2 linked regions of the Lepisosteus oculatus genome follow. The protein of the gene in region 2 binds, or shares a complex with, the protein of the main gene of each other region. Links are inferred from orthologs where the notes say so. Each region holds a gene or a part of one and is shown on either strand. Other genes may lie near its edges.

Evidence for each region. Proteins that work in one complex are often made in the same cells at the same time.
Region 1: the proteins of npr3 (region 2) and nppc are in contact, whole or in part, in a crystal structure (PDB 1JDP), measured with the Homo sapiens proteins. The link is inferred for Lepisosteus oculatus from reciprocal best matches to the Homo sapiens genes NPR3 and NPPC. Residues at the interface, in NP_001191304.1 of Homo sapiens: Asn110, Tyr138, Ala141, Pro142, Arg145, Ala161, Gly163, Phe164, His166, Glu170, Tyr171, Tyr204, Lys208, Leu209, Arg211, Tyr214, Phe215, Leu217, Glu218, His221, Glu222, Gln225, Ile233; in NP_077720.1 of Homo sapiens: Gly109, Cys110, Phe111, Gly112, Leu113, Lys114, Leu115, Asp116, Arg117, Ile118, Gly119, Ser120, Met121, Ser122, Gly123, Leu124, Gly125, Cys126.

The regions. Positions count from the first base shown.
Region 1 is NC_090708.1:8,850,512-8,860,987, forward strand, and holds the start of nppc (C-type natriuretic peptide), read left to right. Parts: upstream 1-5,758; 5' UTR 5,759-5,905; coding exon 5,906-5,998; exon of another isoform or gene 5,999-6,096; intron 6,097-6,731; exon of another isoform or gene 6,732-6,822; intron 6,823-8,323; coding exon 8,324-8,587; 3' UTR 8,588-8,607; intron 8,608-10,476.
Region 2 is NC_090698.1:40,241,238-40,251,631, forward strand, and holds the start of npr3 (atrial natriuretic peptide receptor 3), read right to left. Parts: upstream 4,715-10,394; 5' UTR 4,447-4,714; coding exon 3,708-4,446; intron 1-3,707. UniProt on the Homo sapiens protein: Receptor for the natriuretic peptide hormones, binding with similar affinities atrial natriuretic peptide NPPA/ANP, brain natriuretic peptide NPPB/BNP, and C-type natriuretic peptide NPPC/CNP.

The DNA.
Region 1 (10,476 bases), on a different chromosome or scaffold from region 2:
AAGACCTTGAATACGTTAATACGCTAGAGGATTTGTGGAAAGACTTAAACACTATTGTCCATAAGTGATCCCCAAGCAACCTGAGACAATTTGTGCGAATCCACCAAGACATACTGTATGGCCAGAAATTGTGTCATATGGGTGTGCAAACTTGGTAGAGACTTACCCTACCAAGGCTGTATTTACTGTGGCTCTAATTACTTCTAAAGATTCTTTCACCATATACTGAGTTATGGATCTGAATGCTCACGCAATCAATATTTTCTCTTTAGTTTTTGCTGGCATTTACTTTAACCTAAGTGGCCGTTGGAAGTCTTCAGTTTGAACATTCACATCTTGAATAAAATATTAAGTCATTTTGTAATTTCACAACATAGGAAACACTTTTGTAAGGCCCTGTAACAATAGATCAACTTGCCGATTTTCTAAAAAAGCCATTTGACATTTTTAATGGTCATTGTTCTTCAGATTTTGTATTATTTTCACAGTACTATAAGTACCATTCTGCCTGTTGTACATACATGTATTTACATGTACATACAGTGTGTATCAGTTTTGACATGACTGTCATGCGATGGGTTATAGGAAGAATCGATGACATATTGCCTTTTAAGTTAAACTAAAGTGTTGCTTATTTTAACTGTGACCATTTCATTCATTCCTATGCTATAGTGCAGTGGAGGGAGCAGTATTCAAACCTAATGACAGGACAGTCTATCCTTTTTGTTCCAGCCAGGTTGTGTAACAAGGTTTGTTCATTCAATGAATTTCTTTTAAAAAAAAAAAAAACATTTGCATTCTTGTAAGAAACACAAAGAAGCAAAGACTTAAAATGGGAAATGATATGAAAATGCTGGTCAATTCAACTCAATTGACTGAGTATAGAATCTCTGTTTTCGTCACACGCACGTCAGTCTGCCACACATCAAATGAGTGATAATAAATAATGGACTTATTTTCAAATGAATTAGAAAGATACAAAATCCCAAACCACAACATCTCCCTGGGAGGGCTATTAGGTTTGGCATCTACTAAAATCTTGAAACTTTTGCTGAGTGTTTTATGCATACGTAGGCAATATCTTATGTAAATCAAATGAAGCTTTTAACCATTCTGTACAAATTCTGAATACTGAGAATTGGAAATGAAAGCAGATGTTTTAAAAGCTACTGTATATAGGTAAATGGCCATTGGCTTCTGGACCCTTGCTGGCATAAAGCTGATCATGGACTATCCAGAACCCCTCAGCCAGCAAGGATGCTAAAGAAGAACAGCTGTGAAGGGAAAATTCTGCAGGAGTGGACAGTAAGGAACAATTCACTCTTAGTCACTCAGTTCTGATATAATCCGCCATTTCCCACAGCTCAAGAGGGCAGCTTTCATTGTCTCAGGACAATCACGTAGAAGACACTTCTGTTTTGATTTCTTTCTCTTTAAGCCCCTGACTTGCTCATGAAACATTACAGAAGTATGTCTGCCCCTGCTCTGGGTAACCTGTCAGTTGAGTTATTCTCCCCTTTGGAATGGGCAGCCATGCTTAGATAAAATGCTGTTTGTATGAATGAGTTAGTTGTTAGCAGAAGTCTACCTGCCGAAGAAGTAAGTTGGCAGTGTCATTACCACTGCCTCGCACGATCTACTCTTTTCAGGTCAGCAAGACGGCCTCAGCAGCACTGGGATGGGAAACCTCCTAGGAAAACAAGAAAATTGCTTTAGACGGTGCTGGTGAACCGGAAGGGTGCACTTGTCCCCCAAAACCAGAATTTCCACATACGAATAACCCAGGATAGTGAGCAGAGGCAGCGTGTTGTAGGAGTTGCCTTTGGATGAGATGTTAAGCTGTCGGTCTGACTACTTGGTCATTAAAGATCCCACGGCTCTATTCGTAAGGGCAGGAGGCTTAACCCTGCTGTCTGGCTCATTTCCACTCTGGACTACCCTAATGATCTCCCTTCATTCGACTGGAGAGGGAATTTCTCAATTCTCAATTCATTTCCTATGTACTTCAGTGCCGCCTCTTCCTATCTACAGAGTGGTTTGGGGTCCTTAGGCATGAAACAAATTCATGCTCTATAAATTAAATGAATTGTTGTTGTTAACTGTCGGGTGTAGCTTGAGAAGCTTTTGATGAATGATTACAAGTAATTCTTAATTTGGAATCAGGAAAGTGAACTGCAATTTTTTTTTTATCCTAGCCACCACTGCAGTTTCCCAAATCACAGTTTTCATCTATCCATCGATGTTCCACAGCGGCTTCCTCCTATGGATGGCTGTGCTGAGGCAGATCCTATCCTGGCGGAGCCAGGGCGCAAGTTGGAATTGCACCCTGGATGGAATCAGTGCATCACAGGGCAGACACAGACGCACAAGCAGACATGGACAAGAGACAACAATAGCCCAGCCAGCATGTCTTTTTTGAAGTTTAGAAGACCCGATACCCATCTATCCATCCATCCATTTTCACTCTGCTTTCCCTGGTGAGGGTCGTGGCTGCAGTAGACTGAGTGGATCAGCCCAGACTTCCCTGTCCCCAGTACAGATTCCAGCTCCTCCTGGGGGATCCCCAGATGCTCCCAAGCCAGCCGAGAGATATAATCCCTGCAGCCTGTCCAGGGTCTGTCAATGGGTCTCCACTCAGTGGGACGTGCCTGGAACAGCTCCAGTGGAAGCCGACCGACCAGGGGGGCATCCTTATGAGATGCCCAGACCACCTCAATCAGCTCCTCTCGCTCTGGAGTAGCAGCGACTCGACTCTGAGGCTCTCCCGGTGCCGGTGAAAACCCGTGTGCACGAACTAGAACATGCACACTCCTCACAGAAGGTCTCCAAGCCTGAAAGTCGGGTCCAGCAGCACTGTAAGGTAGCTCTTCACTCTACTGGTTCTCAGTTGTCACGGTTTATGTGATCAATAAATACACCATTTGTCAAGCCATCGGGAACAGCTCTGCCAATTGCACAAAGTGTCACCACATCCAAATGCCTTCTTTTCATCTGAGAATGGGTCTCAACAAGATCAGAAATTGACATCTTGACATCACACAGCTCTCAAGTCAGAAATCATCTCCACCCCCCCCCCCCCCCTCCACCCCCCCCCCAAGTCAGACATTTCTATTTAAAAGAATAATACATCCTTGAACATGTGTATCTACCAATGTCTTCTAACGTTCTTCTCCTCATGTAACTCATTCCCATTTCCAGTGTTCGGATACTTTGGTCTTGCTTAGACTGTGAACTAAAGGGAAATCTGAAGTATTTATCACTCTACCATACTTGTGTAAGCTGATTAGAAAACAAAGGAAAATGGAAGAGGAAGAGTCATCCATACCATGACTAGAGAAAAGGATTTTGAAAAAGACCGGGGAAGGCGAAAATGGCCAAATATATAGCCTCTTAAACAGCACATTCAGAACAGTTTAATATTGTTATTTTGTAATAATTATTATAAAATACATGTAACTCGAGGCATTTTTTATTCGTTTTCACGGAGTAGATGAAAATGACAGGGATAACATAAAAACATCTGTGTGGTTAGTTCGGACAAAGTAGCAGAACACTGGAAATCACGCTTAATAAACCTCTTTCAGCATTTCAGGATTTGGCAACGAACAGCTCTTTCTCGTGAACTAAAGCGTCGGTTTCTTGTTTGCTGTGCGGCGTGGGAGTAATTATAGAGAATTCTTACTGTACGTTTTCTCCGGAAGACAAACCCCACGGCTTCGACCACTCTCAGAGTGAAGACTGTCTCTTACTAAAGACTGAACACGCTCCTCGAGACTACAATAATTCAGTGATCCCCACCTGTCCGCCCACTTCCTTCTCAATAACCACCCTCAAGATATTAAGACTATTCACTTACCCGCGACATGCAAAAAGACCCGCATTGCAACCGCGCATAAAAATCTATAAGCGAAAATACAAAAGTCTATAATACCAACAATATTATCGTTTGTACTGAAAATGTCATTTCGTTTTGGCCAGTTGTGTTGGGTAATCACACATACCAAAAGCAGCAATTATATATAAACTCCGCATGAGCAGGGCTACAGCGGGCAGTAAAAAGACGCACTCCTCTGGCATCTGAAGTCTGCGCTGTCTGTAGGAGAATTAAACGTCGTTCTACAGAGCAGGTGTCCTTCAGTTTTTCGCAAAAATGCTTATTTGTTGAAGAAGCGCACAATGAGCACTGTAGCTTACAGGCGAAACATATTTTTAAAGAGCACCTAGTGGGTTGAAATTGACCGCAATATCCCATCCTTCAAATAGCACATATTAACCTAGTAAATCGACTGTCAGTTAAAGCATTTTGGTCAAATCACACGCAAATACTGATAGAATTAAGCACAGCATTTCCAAACCAAACATCTTTAAAATCCATTGAGCAAAGTCGGGATCTATCCGTCTTTCTGGAAAAACGAAGAGGTGTAAACAAGAAGTTTTGGAATACAAGAAGAAAAAATAAGACATCATTGTCTTCAAGTGATTTAATCTTAAATTTTAAGTTTAAGGGTTTCAGAAGAGTTGTGGGGTAATGGGATCAACGCGCGATAAATGCATAATTTGGAATTTTGCAGTGTGAATCTCCAAATTAATTTGATGCATATGATCTCTTCATTCGCAAACTTAAAATGTTGGTGTCATCACTAGTTTAACTCTAAAGTACAGGTAAACGTAGCCCGCATCTTCTTTAGAAATGATCAACTCCCCATACATTAAACTAGATATATATTGCACTCAGCTAAATACAGTATAGGAAGACGGGTTTTTTTTTTCTAAATTAAAACGGGACTTTTCATATGACGCAATAATCGTAATGTGATATTACATTATACGCATTCATTTTTAATTTAAAAACATAAAAGATTTATGAAAAGATTGTAACGAAAAGAAAAGAAACGCCTTCAACACCCACAAAAGTTGATAACGGAAACAAAACTGGCTACAGAATGCACTTGTCAAATTTTCTCTAGACCAACAACTGCTCAGATTTCAAAATAAATTTAGAAAAACAAAGTAGGCTCTCTTACGCTAAGGCGTATGTATATATGAACTGCACATATATTAAATTCCAAATCAAATTAAAACGAAACGTTAAGATGGGTTATCCGTGAGTCCCTAGACATCAGCATTGGGCGCACGCAGATATCCAGTGAGGGGAGATGGGAATCGGCTAATTGTTAAATATAGAGAAAAAAGTTATATTCTAGGGCTAAATAAACAGATCGTGTTAAAGTTCTTCTCGATAAACCAGTTTGTCCCTATTTCACGTTGTTTCGAATCAGTGGTACCGTAACTCCTTGTACAGTAGATCAGAAAACCTGAACACGACCATAAATGACTTGCAGGATTTTGCTTTGAAGTGTCCCGCTTATTCATTTGTTTGGCATAATTAATACAAGGAGCGCAGTTTATTCTTTTAACTGAATGGTTAATTGTAAAAACCTCCAAACATCCTTGTTATAAACGAGAGAAGGACATGCCAGATTGCTCTACAGCCAGACAAAAGATAGGTAACTCTGGAAGCACCCGTATGATGTTTTACCCCAGAAGAGACCATATCCACGTCCTAACTGCTGTAAAAAATACACAGACTAAAAGCGGTATAGCATACTATAACATACACGCGTACAAAAACACACTACCGCGAAAATTTACAGGTAAAAAAAAAATTGGCAACATATCACAACAGAAGGGGGGGTGGGAGGGGGGGGGGACACTATTACAAAGCCTGGATGACATCATCGCTGGGTTATAAAAAGCGTGAATGGTGTTCCTCTCTAGCAGTGCAGAACTTGAGTATCTTGGAGTAAGCGAGGCAAGACAATCCACTTGCTGAGAACCGACCTCGATCCGAAGATTTTATTGTAACCAGAAGGAACCCAGTCTTCGAGTTCGCCACTGAGCAGAAATGAATATCTCGCATTTGGTGGCTTGTGGACTATTGATGACTCTGCTTTCAGTGAGCATGGAGGCTAAACCTTTGACGCCGGCACAGCAAAAGGTAAATCAGATTTACACGGTATAGACTCCGTTAGTATAGCCTTGTGATATCCAGCGTAATGATCCATTGTTGTTTTCGGTGGTGGCGTATTCTTTTGTCTGAAAAATAATTGACAGTGCGTTTAACGGTTAGTTTATATTATTTCTTAAACCATTTAAGCTAACTTTTCTACGACTCCTTGCAGTTATGCTCGGCTGTTACTTTAGTTTTTTTTTGCTTTTGGCGCAACTATTCCTACGAGTTGTACTAAAACAATAACAATAACAGCCGCATTAAAATACGTTTTGAACAACATATTAACCTGTTCATCCATTAATAAAGTGGTGGGAACGTTTTCTTCATGGTGTTCAAAAATAGTTGGTTGCATACATTTTTAAACTTCGAAGTTTAGAAGTTCACTGAAGGAAAAACACAGTTTTATTTTTATTAAAGTTTCACTCTCATGACCCTGTAGTGTTAGAGATGACTAAAACCCATCATCATTATAAGTACTTATTATTTCTTAATTTTAAAAACTAAGAAAAAATTTTTTTACGCATGGTGCGTAAGAAAACATGACATATGAGGAAACGTACAAGTTATCTTAATAGCATGTTCTTCTTTTGGTAGCTGCAAGTATCGCACCTATGTCATGTTCCGGGATGCATCACATTCCAAGAACTGTATTCTGGTACCCAGACATTCAGAAGTACATGAACGCGCAGATACGATGGTAAAAGAGATGAGGGCTCACCGTAGCTTCTTGTAGATTCAGACCCGTCTAACAGAAGAAAAAAAATTTAAGATAATTTTAATAACTTAGTGACTGAACCTCTTTGTCCCACTTTCGGAGCTCGTAAAACGTTTAGCGGACATCAGTGACAAAAGCCCCACCTCGGTAGTAGTGTAGTACCTGTGCATCATACATGGGCATTGTGACCAAATCGATGGAAAGCAGTAAAAAAAAAAGACAAACAGGACAATTTCCTTTCCGTATAATATAAGTATCTTTACGGAATTTATCTACTGAAATAATACATATCTTTCATTTTCCAATGGAGTTTATATTGGGTAATGTCTTAATACGGACATATCTTTAAAAAAGTTTTTTTTCTTTAGGAGGTGGCGTGAACTCCCACTTATCTGAATCTTCCCACATGGAAATTTACTAGGATGTAACAACGGGAAAGTGTTAAAATCGATGTAGGTTATGCTAAAATGGGGAAAAAAAAACACAGCAAAGTATCCACAGCAATGTCTCAATAGCACCTCCAACAGTTGATAAGAAGATACTCTGTTCTTACCCATGTCCCCAGTTTGAATAGGAGAGCTTCTCTACTTTATTCCAATACTAAACGTTAAATAGGCTCCTTAAAATAAACCTTTAACCTTTGTTGACAATGACTTAGCCTACCGTATATTCAGTAACTCCTGCATCCACATGAGCATGAAGTCGACAGCTTAAAGACTTCTGCAATATTAAACTCGATTAGTAAGGACGGTTTGTGGATTGAGCTGAAGGTCAAGTAAAATAAAGCTGTTAGTGGCTGTTTGTCATTGTGCCATCCTCCTCTATAGCTCACATCTGCACCTACCCTGGCAGGTTCCAGGTGAGCTGTTGATGATTCCTTATGGAGAGTGGCGCCTGCACTCTCACAGCCTCTACGGAAAATATATTCCCTGCTCCAACACCGCAGAAAACACAGAAGGAAATATACTAAGTATTACAGAAGCAAAAGAAAGCAGGAGAGATTCTGATCTGCAGAGAGGCGTTAAATGGACAACAAAATGTGATTCCAACTCTCTTTTGGTGCATTTTGCATCTCACTCCGCCACATATGACTGGCTAGAGAAGTGTGAGACCGTAGAGTCTTATATTCACTCCTGCTGCTGATTTTCAGTGAATGGCTGCACATTACAGTCATCTAAACCTGTGATCATCTCTTTGTGGATGATCACAAATAAAATAATGACATACAATGACTGGAAACTAAAGGGGGAAAGCGTATTGTAATATGTTTACAATCGGAATTCCCGATTTACTTTGGTTTACATAAAATAACGAACGGTGCGAGCCGTTCAGGTGCCGTGTGGTTACACGCAACAGTTGTCCGGTTAAATAAATCATGCTGAACCAAAACACAGAGGGTCATTTTATTAACGCAGAGTATTAAGATGCTCAAGCAATAAGTTCCTGCTGGAAAGAGAACTGCTGTGGCGACCAGTCTTGCTGTATGAAGACAGTTACTGGATTCACAGACGGACCATGCGTGAGTCCAGCTGCCACAGGTCTGACCAGGGAAGCCGAGAGCTGACGCCTTTTTCTTCTTTATCTCTTTGTTTTAGTCTCTTAGAAGCTTGTTAGGCGAAGAGCTGTCCGAGTACCTAGCATCGGGGGAGACGGAAGGCAAACTTGAGAGTGCGAGGTCGAGGGTGCGACTCCTCCGGGACCTGCGCCTGGACACCCGGGCGAAGGCAGCCTGGGCGCGGATTCTGAACGACCAGCCCAGCCCGCGGAAGTTCAAGGGCGGCGTGAAGAAAGGGGGATCCCGGGGCTGCTTCGGCCACAAGATTGACAGAATAGGGACCATCAGCGGCCTCGGCTGCTAAAGAGACAGCGCCCAGAGGCGGTAAGTGAAGCACCGGGGTGGCAAACTCTAGGAGGATGTGAGCTGACGTCAGCAGTATCGGAGACGCAAATCTCATGTTGTGAGTGCTTGGCAGTCGTTAACAGTGAAGTAGTCATTAATAAACATGTATAAATGACAAATATCCAAATCTGGTTGACAGCCGTGCAAGTAATCATTTAAAAGGGTCACCTATTATAGGGTTATTAACACTGCATTATCATTCTCTTCAGGTGTTATGGGTGAAAAGAGCTTTCGGATTAATTTCGAATTCCATATTTTGAATTGTAACCATAAATACACTGTATATGTGTACTTGGAATATAGTGTTTCTTCATGTAAAAATTTTTTAACACTTGGGAGTGGTAGCGAAAGGCACTCTAAGTAGTTTTGGATCCAGGTTACAGTGAGGTTGGGACTCAAATGAAATTCACACTGATCACACTGTCAATTAATTGTGCAAAAAAAGCACTTGCTTACTTAAATTATGTCAAAACAATTTGACATTGTGTCATGATCTGAAATACAGTCGTGACACACAGATTCAAAGACATAATTGGAAAACACAATGTTTTTGTTATTTGTGCTGCTGCTAAAGCAGGATGCCTCCTGTATTTTTAGGGAATAAAAGAAATAGGCAAATCTTTACGTTTCTAATAAACAATATAGTCCAATATTTATTTTGTACATTTGAGGGATGTATTAAGATAAAAGGACAAAAATAAAGGAATCATGGGGAAATAATGTCCTACTGGGTGCAGAATGCCATTTATTGATGCTCCCAGTAGCTGGAAAAGAAGTCTGTATACACATAAAATTAAAAGAAAAATATTTACGGGTGACTTAATTAAATGTATCCACAGCAAAGATTGTCTTTAATAAAGTATACATTATTGGACACTAACAAAGGATCAGGGATTAAATATAGGACAAAGAATTTCTTAATTATCACTGAGTGCACTGAGTACAAGTGCTTTTTGTAGTCTAAATGTTCTTCATGTGTCAAGGTTGTTTCAGAACTGTGGACATCAGTCTGTCCTGGCACAATGAAATCCGAACACCACACAAGAAACGAAATGTGCACTGAATGAAAATGCTTATGGATAGTTCTTTGAATGTACTATACCGCCTTACCACCTTGCACGTGTGTAAATGGGAAAATGTGACCATTACCATCAGTAATAAACTAGTGTAAATGCCCTGAGATTAGAGGTTGCATTATTAGGGATCATGTCATAGGCAGCTGACACCTTACATGTCCTTTAGCATGGCTCATTACAGGAATTTGTAGGTCAGCATACAGTAAATGTGTATAAAACATTAACTAATTTAGTGATAAAGATATGAGGTGATCCACAGTTAACTGAAGCAAAGTACACATATGGCTTCAGACTATGGCTGTAAAATGTTCTCCGAGACCGGGCGTACGTAATCTCTCTTTCCAAAGTCATCTGAAGTGTGTCAGTGGGTGAATGTGTCTTACTTTTTCCATTTTGTGCAATCGATCATCCCCTTTCCCTGTTTCCCCACTCTGACCCCCCTGGAGTGAGAGAAATGGTTAGGAGTGTTCCTTGTACCCTGGCTTCTTCCAAAACTAAAAACATGGGATGAGATCTTTGAATCAATGAGCTACTTCAGAGGGGCCATTGTACCAGCACCGGTTACATATGGCAATAAAGTTCAAGTCAAGTCAAATGTCCATCTCTCGTTTCTGAATGTTCTTACTGACAGTACATCTCATAAACTCCATCAACACTGATTTTACGAAGATTGACATTGAGTTAAGCAGGCAGGAAAAAAATAAATGCCAATGGTATTACTTATGGCAGATTTTATTTTTGTCTCAGAATTTTGCAACGAGGAAATTCATTT
Region 2 (10,394 bases):
TTTCTGTGTGAAGTTTGTATGTTCTCCCCAGTTTCATCCAGGTGATCTGGTTTCCTCTCACAGTCCAAAGACATACTGGTAGGTTAACTTCTTCTGCCAAAATTGGCCCAGGTGTGAGTTTGTGTTTGTGTCTGTCTGTGTGTGCCCTACAATGGAATGATATGCTGTCAAGGGTGTATCCTGCCTTGTGACCCTTGATTGCTGGGATAGGCACTGATTACAAAATATATTGTATTATATATTGTATTGCACCATGATTACAAAATATATTGTAATCATGGTAGCAAATAAATGAATTATGTCAAAAAAGCAAATAATGTGATATAAAAATCTGCAGAATTATATAATTATATATATATATTCTTCAGTATAGTATACAGTTAAATTTAGTAATGATCTGCATGTACGTTGTGTATGCAATTAAAATCATCAGATGGAATCTGGTATTACATCTTTGTTCAGACCATGCTATGATTCCTGTAATCTTTCCTTTCCTTTGTAAAAAATATAGCAAATATATCCAATTGTGTTCTAGTAAGTCAGGTAATATCAGTGACATTAGTATCATCCAGGTGGATGCTGCACATTGCTGGTAGTGGAAGGGAGCCCCCATTACCTGTAAAGCGCTTTGAGTGTTGTGTTCAGAAAAGCGCTATATATGAGTAAGCAATTATTTATTATTATTATTATTATTATTATTATTATTATTATTATTATTATTATTATTATTGTTATTATTATAAGAATACTACATCAGGTCATGATAAGCACAAATGCACTGTTTATTTACCATTCTAGTACTCCAACATATTATCTTAGTTTCAGTAGAATCTTAACGGACTTTAGCCTCCATTTTGACATTTGAACTAAAATTACTGTTATTTCCAGACCCTTTTTTTTTAATAATAACATAACTGAAATAAGAGCGTATGGTGTTGTCTGACAAAACTCGTGCAAAATCTGTTTCATGACAATTTCAGAAGCATTAAGTGAAGTGTGTGTAACTTTTAAGATGTGAGTCCCTTTCACTACAGCAATGTGATCAGGTTGCCATAATTGATCAACAACCCCTAAACTTATTTTGACAGCGTTATCACTGTAACTCTGTTGTATGTACTCTGTAACTGGAAATGTCTATATTCTATTCACAGCTTCTGTGTTCACTATTTTGAAGTTCTGGGCACTGAAATGACAGAAAGTGGACTTGTGAGTAGTCGAGTCAGGCTTCATTGGCAGGTGACACGAGAAGAACAGCCAAAATATTTTGTTTCTTCTGTCTGCTCTTCAGCATGGAATTATCCTTTACTTGTTCTTTGGTAGGTAAGTGTACTATAAAAATCAATCAAAATGTAAATTTTCACTTTAAGGGTTAAAAACCATCCATAAGTTCATCCTCAGCAATCTTTAGTAGGAGTCACCATTTTATTGTGTAAAAAACAATCCCTACTGATAGTAACCTATATTTTCTGGCTTGCAATAACTTTGAACAAATATATAATGTCTGGTGAAGGTTCTTGTCATGATTTTAAGTTCAGTATATACTGTATAACCATTTTTTTCCACTCTCATAATACTGTGGCACTTTTGGGTTCACATGGGTATGCGCCCTCACTGCTGCCGCCTCAGGTTGGCCCACCGCTGGGGACTTGAACCCGGTCCTCCGGCATCAGTCAACAGGGAACCAGCCGGCTAAGCTAAAGGGAGATCTCCCGTCAGCTGAGATCCCTGCTATTCACAGGGAAGGGCGGTGATGTCACTGTGCTGAAAAGCTGGCTCACACAACCTGTAATGTCGGCCATATGCATTACACTCTCCCCCGTTTAATTCGCCGTCCTCGGCAAAGGGCTATGCCATCCCGCTGCTAACACCAATGTAGTGTTTTCGGGTTCACTTGGGTAACCAGCCAGCTGAGCTAAAGGGAAATCTCCCATCAGCCCCGTGACTGAGGTCCCTGCTATTCACAGGGAAGGGCGGTGACATCACCATGCAGGCAAGCCGGCTCAAACAACATATGTGAGCCGTATGTGTTACAATACTGTGTATGTAGCATTCACAATAGGCCTTAGGTGAAATGCTATGTTACAGAACACATTCAATGCATAGTAGAAATGGAAACAACACGTGAATCAGAAATGATCTCATCAACCAAGAGAAATGAGAAATCCCTCACATTAAAGTAAAACTTTCTATATCTTAGGTGTTTCACACTGCATCATTGATATTAAGCTAAATGGTGATACCTATTCCGAACCTCTTTGCAATGTAACCATGAGCGACATGGATTTTAAAAAGGAAGCTATAATAAAAATAGGCTGGTATGTTCAAGACACAAATAGTAAATCCTAAAAATATTCGGTGATGTCTGGAAAAAGTAATGATGACAATAACTGTGCATATTTCTCTATCAAATACATATTGCACTCTGGACTTCTTAGTACACCTACAGACTATTCATTAAAAATGTATGATTTCTGTTAACCTAGCTTCAGTCTTCCTTGCTTTTCAAAAGATGCCTGCGTTCAGTTCAGGGGCTAAATTAAATTGTGTGGCTACCAAGATTAACAGTATCTACCATGTTGCTCTAGATACTAATAACTAACAGATTTACCAGAGGGACTCATCTTTTTTAATACAGTGATAATTAAACCTTTGAATGCAACTTGTAAATAAGTTGTCTTAAACAATTTGGATCAAATTAAATCATTTTTAATTAATGGCCAGAGACAATTTGCTTTTAAAATGCCCATTGGCGAGTTCCTGCCAATATGTTAAGTTCACAGAACCAAACTCATTAGTGTAAAATCAGAGATAACATACAGTAAATACCAAAATGAAAATTTGGTACAGTATGCTCTGGAATGTCAAGTGCGTAGTGGGATATAATGGATAGTAACCTACTCTTTAATCTATATTACCAGTATTGAGATACGTTTCCGTTTGCAACGGAGTACATAAAAGCGCACAGATGGCAGGACTTCATCAGTACATTTTAATAACAAAGCCAGTTGTATTCAGAAGCGTCTTCTTTTCTTTGGTAAAATTCTTTGTCACCAATCCACCACTCTCGTCTCCATCATTCGTCTCCTATTTTACCTCCCAAGTGTAAAGTATTACACAACGTTATTCAACAGCAATCTGCAGAACCCTAATTCTTTTGAATTTGTTTTAAAAAAGGATTTGTCTGTCTCAATGAAAGCAAAAGAATGAAATATCTTTAAATGACCAATTTAGAAATCTTACACATTTTTAGAAAATTAACAGCGGCGAAAAGCTCAGTCGCGGGAACCACAGTAATGTAAAAATAAAAATGCAATAAATCACCTCCAGAAGATTAAATGAAAATCTTTTCGGCTGCTTATCAAAGGGATTCCATTTAACATTATTTTGGTCCTCTACATAACACCAGGACTACTTTCTTGATATAAATACTGTATAGATTTAAAAGGGTACTGTAAAGGCTAAAACACTTTCACATTGTGTATCAATATACCATGTACTGTACATTAATTCATTACCATGGAGATTCAATGGCTCCGGCAATTTTGGCCGCACAGTTCTTAGTTACTTATCTGATATTCTGTATATTTTATTGGCCTTAAAACAGTAAAAGTACACCCAGGACTAACTAGACGACTATTCAGTTATCCTGAAGAACATTTTCTTTTGCTAATATTTAATGTATCTTAAACAATAAAGGGGCGTACTACCTTCGTTGGCGTAGATCGACCTGATTATCTCGTCAACATCCACTCCCCCTTTGGAGTTAAAGGATACAGGCAATAGATGATGTACCTCCGATTCCGAATTAAGAACTTCGTGGACCCCCTCCATTGTGAAGTAACAGTTCCGCTCTTCTTTGTCATCATCATAGATAAGAACTGCGTTCTTCCAGCTGAAATAGTTAAACATTGCAGAGAATGTCTTCGCCATTTTTAAATAAGAAGGGGAAACTCTGGTCAGGTGCGTGTATTCCTTTAGTTTATCGCTGAAGCCTGTTGCTAAAGCACCTGCCGAAATCACTGGGATGTTCCAGTGGGATGCCATCCTTATCACCTGTGCTGCAGCGTACTCGCAAACGGGACCAAGAATCAAATCTGGCTTCTTCTTCAAAGACCTATCCACAAGGCTGAAGAGGGCTTCATTGCCACAGTTTGAGTCCTCATAGTGGACTTTAAAAATGAGTCCCGGAAGAAGCCGTTCATCAGTGCTGATCCGCTGCAATGCATATTCTATTGCTGGTTTTACTCTTGGGATGGCGAACATGTATGCGCTGTCTTTTGGCAAAGTAACTAAGACTTCAATTACACTGTCTTCATTCTGTGCACTTGTCTTGACAGGTATTAAGATTAGCCATAAGTATAGGCAGCATGACAGCAAGCATGGCATATTGGCACCTTTGACGGGTATTACGTTTCCTATATTGATATAATTTAAAAACTCTACCATTTTTTTTTTACTTTTCGGCTTTCCGATATTATTTCTTTAAATTGACAAACTCTCAGAGAAATTAAGATTTTCGTCTTAAAACTTTTAAGAAGTTTCTTTTTTTTTTTTCAAAAGGTAGCGAATCTGTGATATGAGGGATCCTGCACTTTAAATCTTCTGAAACCGTCTCAACTTGGTTTTAAAAATCCCCTTCTGTTTCCCTTACTAATAGTTCTGTTTCCCTAATAATTCCTGTTGTTTAAATATGGTAACTGCCCAGCCTGTTACCACACAGAGAGTGGCTTCGGGGAGGAATTTTGAAGCATCTTTTCAGTCTTACTCCTGCGTCATTCTTAAATACTCCACCTCCTTCTTAAAGCCGCAGCTACCGCTTTCAAACCACGCACGTTCAAAGATAAGTTTAAAAAACTTTTTTTTCGAACAAAATGTCTTGATGCTGGTAACAGTATACACTATAACAGCTACAGTACACCGTGCGACGTTGTTTGACAAGTCTGAAAATGAAATGTAAGTAAAAACACAAATTTAATTGGTACTTGTAACACATAGTTATGACAATAGTGATGTCAGGACTGGGTTCAGTTGTACTATTAAAATATCTTTGATTTTCAAGTAACTGCATAAAACACTAAGATTTTGTTTTTCAAAAATACTGCTGAAACCCCCGGCTACAGTATAACATGTAATAACATGCCCTCTTCAGCACCAAAAAGCATTCAACAATAGTGATCACTGAATAGTTACAGTATATCCTTAGAATTTGACTTAAAAATCAGGTAACCTTTTTAATATTAGCTTTTCATCATAACTTCAATTTGAAAGAAAACGCACAAGCACCTTACATATTCATTTACCTAACATATTATGTTTAGGTTAAAGCTGGGTGTACTGAGCAACGTGTGAATGCGTGATCACTTCTTTCAAGTATTTTCTATAGATGGACATCCATCTTAAAAAGAAGACGAAGGTAGAAAGTTAATCAAATTAAATTATCAGGAATTTGGCTAAAGTATTAATTTTTAAATGAATTAATAAGAATTTCAACAGGTATTTAGATGTATTTTTAAACTATTATGGCAATTATATTTCTTGCTTTTTATTTATGTATTTAATGTATTTGAATTACATTTTTCGATTTAGTAAAGACGACTGTTCATGACCCTTATGGGATTGCGACGTTTTTTAAAAAACGAATGGTTTTCATTTAGGAAGAAATTGCATTGCACAAAAATACAATATTGGAATGTATTTTGAAATGTATTTTTCTTTGATTTGTGCATTAATACATTAGGGGGTATTTAAGTTTTACTCTTTTATGTTTTAATGACTTAACGTTATTAACAACAATACCATAATCAATCAGCGCGTTCTCTTGACCGTTCTTTGCGATGTTAAATTCGGAAAAAAAGGTTAAATTGTATTGAAACGCTTTTGCAGACTGCCCTCTGTTGGTGAATCGTCTGCATGAATAATTATCCTGAAATGCTACATAATGTACGTCTCTAGAATTGTGTTTCGTCTGAGAGAATGATGAAACAAATGTCTGTTCAATTAGAGTTGCAATTAGAGAACATACAATCTGTTAGATCTTGCCCAAATGCGTTCACAATGATAAAAAGTGGTATAATTCATTTTGGCATGGTGTGTGCTTTTTTGACTAACGCGTATCAATAACAAAATATTGTATAATACCTGCTTAGGTTATCATATTACGAACAAAAAAGAACCACGCGATTATCTATTCTCATTAGGTTAGGAAAAAAATATTAGCAACAGTCAATGGTTATACCGATTTTAAATCTAAATATACTGTAAGAATGTAAGAAATTTAGACGCATAATCCAAACGGCATTAAGTGAAAGTGTGATCACAAACATTTTGTTGTATTACCCTTCCATTGTATCATGCATTCAAATAGAAATCAAAGTAGTTCATTTTTCTTTCTCTATTATCTCTATAAAATATATTTAATAGGAAATAAACTATATAAAAAGACTAATGTTTAGATGATTTACAGACAGTATTAGTGTCCCTGGGACAGTGGCAGTGTCCCTGTAAAAATAATTCAAATTTGATTTCAGAGAAATGTAAACCTAGTATTTCCCACCTGTTCAGCAAAATAAATGATCCAGATGTGTGAAGAGCACAAAATAACCCAAATACCAGCAATTTTAAGCCTCCATTATTGTTTTATTCAGCTTAACAAATATACCAAATGAATGTTGTGCTTGTCAGTATTAATTGTCTTTGAAATTACATGAGTGGTGGCTGTTTCATGGTTGTTTCTAATAACTGCTGGCAGGTGTAACAGTGAATCAGGCTTAGTGCATTAGGAAACACAACAGGTATGAACGACCTTGGGAAAGAGGCATTTGATTTGAAGTTGTCATTTCCATTGTGTGTTAAGAATCAATGGAAATTACAAAGGAGATCATCACTATCGTAATGCAAATTACTTTAGCCAGTTATATTTTAAAGCAGTAATTCTGTCCTTTTGCCCGTATTTAACAACAGATTTTAATATTACTATTGACTTCATGTTAAATAAAGTTGCATAGTTTAAAGGGAAAAAATATTTTTTGGTTTAACTTTTATAATTCTAATTAGAATTATATCTCTTTTAGTGATATAATTACTACATTTAATATACTTAATATGATTCTTAATACTTCACATGGATTTTAAAGTTCTGATGACTTTCACATTCTGGTGTTTAACTACAACAAATTCCCAATCAGTATTCATCATAGTATCATGCTGTCATAATAAAAATGCTATTTTGGTTTTAACATTTTGTTGTTTACACTTTATACAGCATTTGAAAAGGGATTTTCTTCATTTTGTACTTGGAGAACCTGCTTATGTGCAAATAAGTCAGTCAGCACTGACCTCTAATATTTTAAAGGCTATACTGCAAGGTGACAGAGAAAAGTGCTTGGCTATATTTAAAGCAGTATAGGCGGCTGAGGGACTGAAAAATGCCACACTGAACTCAGTAAAACTAGCAAACATTATTTTCAGACTGGTTTTATAAAATGCTCTCGGTGGCTAGTGTAATTTACCTGCTTATAAAGTACCCCTGCAGTTTTGCAATTTTGAGCACATTTAAAACCATTAATGGATTAAGGGAGCAATAATTCATTTTTGGCTAAATCTGTTACACAGATCTTCACTGAATGCGTCTTTAGTAGTCATTTATCCCCTTCTAATTACATGAATGAGGCAATTTGGAATATTACGCAATTACTGATTTATTCCAAAATAAAATAAGATATTAGGTACTTTGTTACTTTAATTTCAGGTGGCATACAGCCATGGGTGGAGTTTCTATTGCCTTTAACGTAATCACTTAAAAGAAGGATAAATATTTCTCATTTTGTTGACCAGAATGGTAGAGAGAACAGATTTCTTTATGCACTTTTTTTTTCTAATACAACCTTGAAACAGTCTGCTTGTATAGTTCTTAATATCACTCTTCAGAACTACTTTTATACCCTTTCGGTTTTGCGAAGTTGTGTGTTTGGATTTTTTTATAAACCTGGAAACAGACAGCAGGTTGTTCTTTGGTTTGTTAATCTAATAAAATGGACCAGTTTATGAGCCCTGCTCTTTTACATCTATTAAAGTGCTAACGTAATTGAAGCCATCTGTCTGTTTGAGCGAAAGGGGTGTGTTTTACGTTAATGCTTTTAATACAAATTTATTATCCTTCACTCTTGGTCTGCAAAGTCATGGTTTCCAGTAGCCGGTGAATATTAATCAACAGTACCATTCTGTCCTGTTCAGGAAATGTGCATGTGAATGACAGCATTGACCTGCTCTTGCCTCTCTGCTTGTGGTTTTCTTTAATTAACACAAGACTGACTACTCTTTTTCAACTTTAAAAAATGCATATCCATCTTTCACATTTTTGTAAATGAACTTAACTGAAGAAGTGCCACCTGCTATTCCAATCATGTATTTTTTGCTGTTTTGGTGCAGCTGTGTATACTCTCAGGATACAAAGCAAAACCATTAAGACAGTTTTCCAAAACACATTTGAAAAGCACAATAATATGTGTAAACACAGATATTGTGTTATAAGTAATATAATTTGAGATGGTATAAAATTGATCCACTTGGGGATTTCTTCCCCAAACACAGACATCTTTCCAATGAACAAAAAACTAAAAACATCATGAGAGAAAATGGCATGGATATGCATTTATTTATCTTTATTCCACATTCTAAATATTTAACAATGGTATAATGGGTGAAAAGGAAGGATAATTATATAAACACAGGTTCAGTGGGGTAGAATAAGGTCATCCCATACCAGAATTAGTGGGAGAGGGTGGTAGATGGAAACAAGATCAGGGTCCTTGTTAAAACCTCATTCCCAGAAAGCTGGAGGGAATGACGTGTAGTCACCTGATCGAAAGATGTAGGTCAATTGAAACTCAGGTAAAGAGCACTGTTTTTTTTTTCATTTCTGTATGTGTTTGAGTGTCTGGTAACCAAGATCTGCTTATTAAATTATAAAAGTTATACAGTATGCCACATATGGAGTAGAATGTGGGCATGGGTTGCAGTCTTAGGGAGTAGCGCACCCCAATGGCTATTCAGCAATAGTGCAAGGGAATTTTCTTTTAAAAATGATCAAAATAAACAAGAAAATGCTGGATTTGTTGGGGTGAAATGTGGACTTGAGTGTTTCAAGGACTCCATTCTGGCTAAAGATAGAGGGCAGGAAAGAATTTTCTCCAGCCTGCTAAATGTGAAAAAGAAACTTTTGGAACTTGCTGGACTTTCTGAAGACAATGGAAAATTTTCTGAAGGAGACCTTAAAATGATGGACTCCCTCGATGGCATGACAGAGGTGGTCTGGAAAATGATAGCCTGGAAGCAAGAACAAAAGAAATTTGCACTACAGGGTGCACTATGCACCCAACAGCCTTCATTGAGACAGAAATAGAAAAGGGAAGGATGTGGTATGTGAAGAACATGATCTGGAAGTCCAGGATAGGGGAAGACAGGAGTTTACTACTATACAAAATGGTCTACAGCTGAAAGCCTGAGAAAAAGAAATCAGAAAATAGTCAGATAGATATAGTCAAAATCCTGGAAAGCTACAAAGAGCTGGAACTTGACAGATAGCTGAGGAAGTCTGAACAGGAGCTGCATCCAAGTAAAACTCAAAAAGGTCAAGAAAGAGTTGATTAGTTCTTCGCCAAGAAACAGTTCAGGATGTTCATTGCAGAGGTGGAAATTAAGGATTGGTGGGCACTGGTGGAGAGTCTTCAATCCCAGCTCATCCAGGCCATTTCTGAGAAGAAATTCTCTCAATTCTTTCTTTAGGGACCAAGCTGGAGGCCAGCCAGAGGATAGAAATAGAAAACAAGAACTACGTTTTTAATATTGAAAATGAGATTCTCCAACACATAAGAGAAAGTTGGACAAAAAAAGATCAAAACCTATGATCTTATCATGACAAGCTAGGGACAAGCGAAGGATTGGCATCCAGTAAAGAAACAAAGAGAAGCAAAACCTTTTGAGATATTTTTCCCTCAGATATTTATAGAAGAAGCACTGGTTGCAGGCGTTCAAACAGAAATCCCATTTAATCTCAGCCAGACTGCCACAGAATTACTGCTCCTGAGGGTGAAACTAAATTCAGAAGATGAGCATCAGAATAAATGCAGATTGTGAGGAGTATGCGGTTGTTCTGGGAGAAAATGAAGGCATGCTGAAGAACCTTTGGAGAAAATTGGACCTGGAATAGAGACTTAAAATAGCTTACGCTGAAATATTGGCACGGCTAAAGGGCTTGTTATCAGAGTTTGTGAACCACCTGGAAATGGTCAAGCTAAATGCCAAGCAACAGAGTGAGGAACTGGTTTTGGTCCAGCAGCATCTGAGAGAGATGAAGAAGCAGATGCAGATAGGAATTGGAGAAACATGCAGCTATG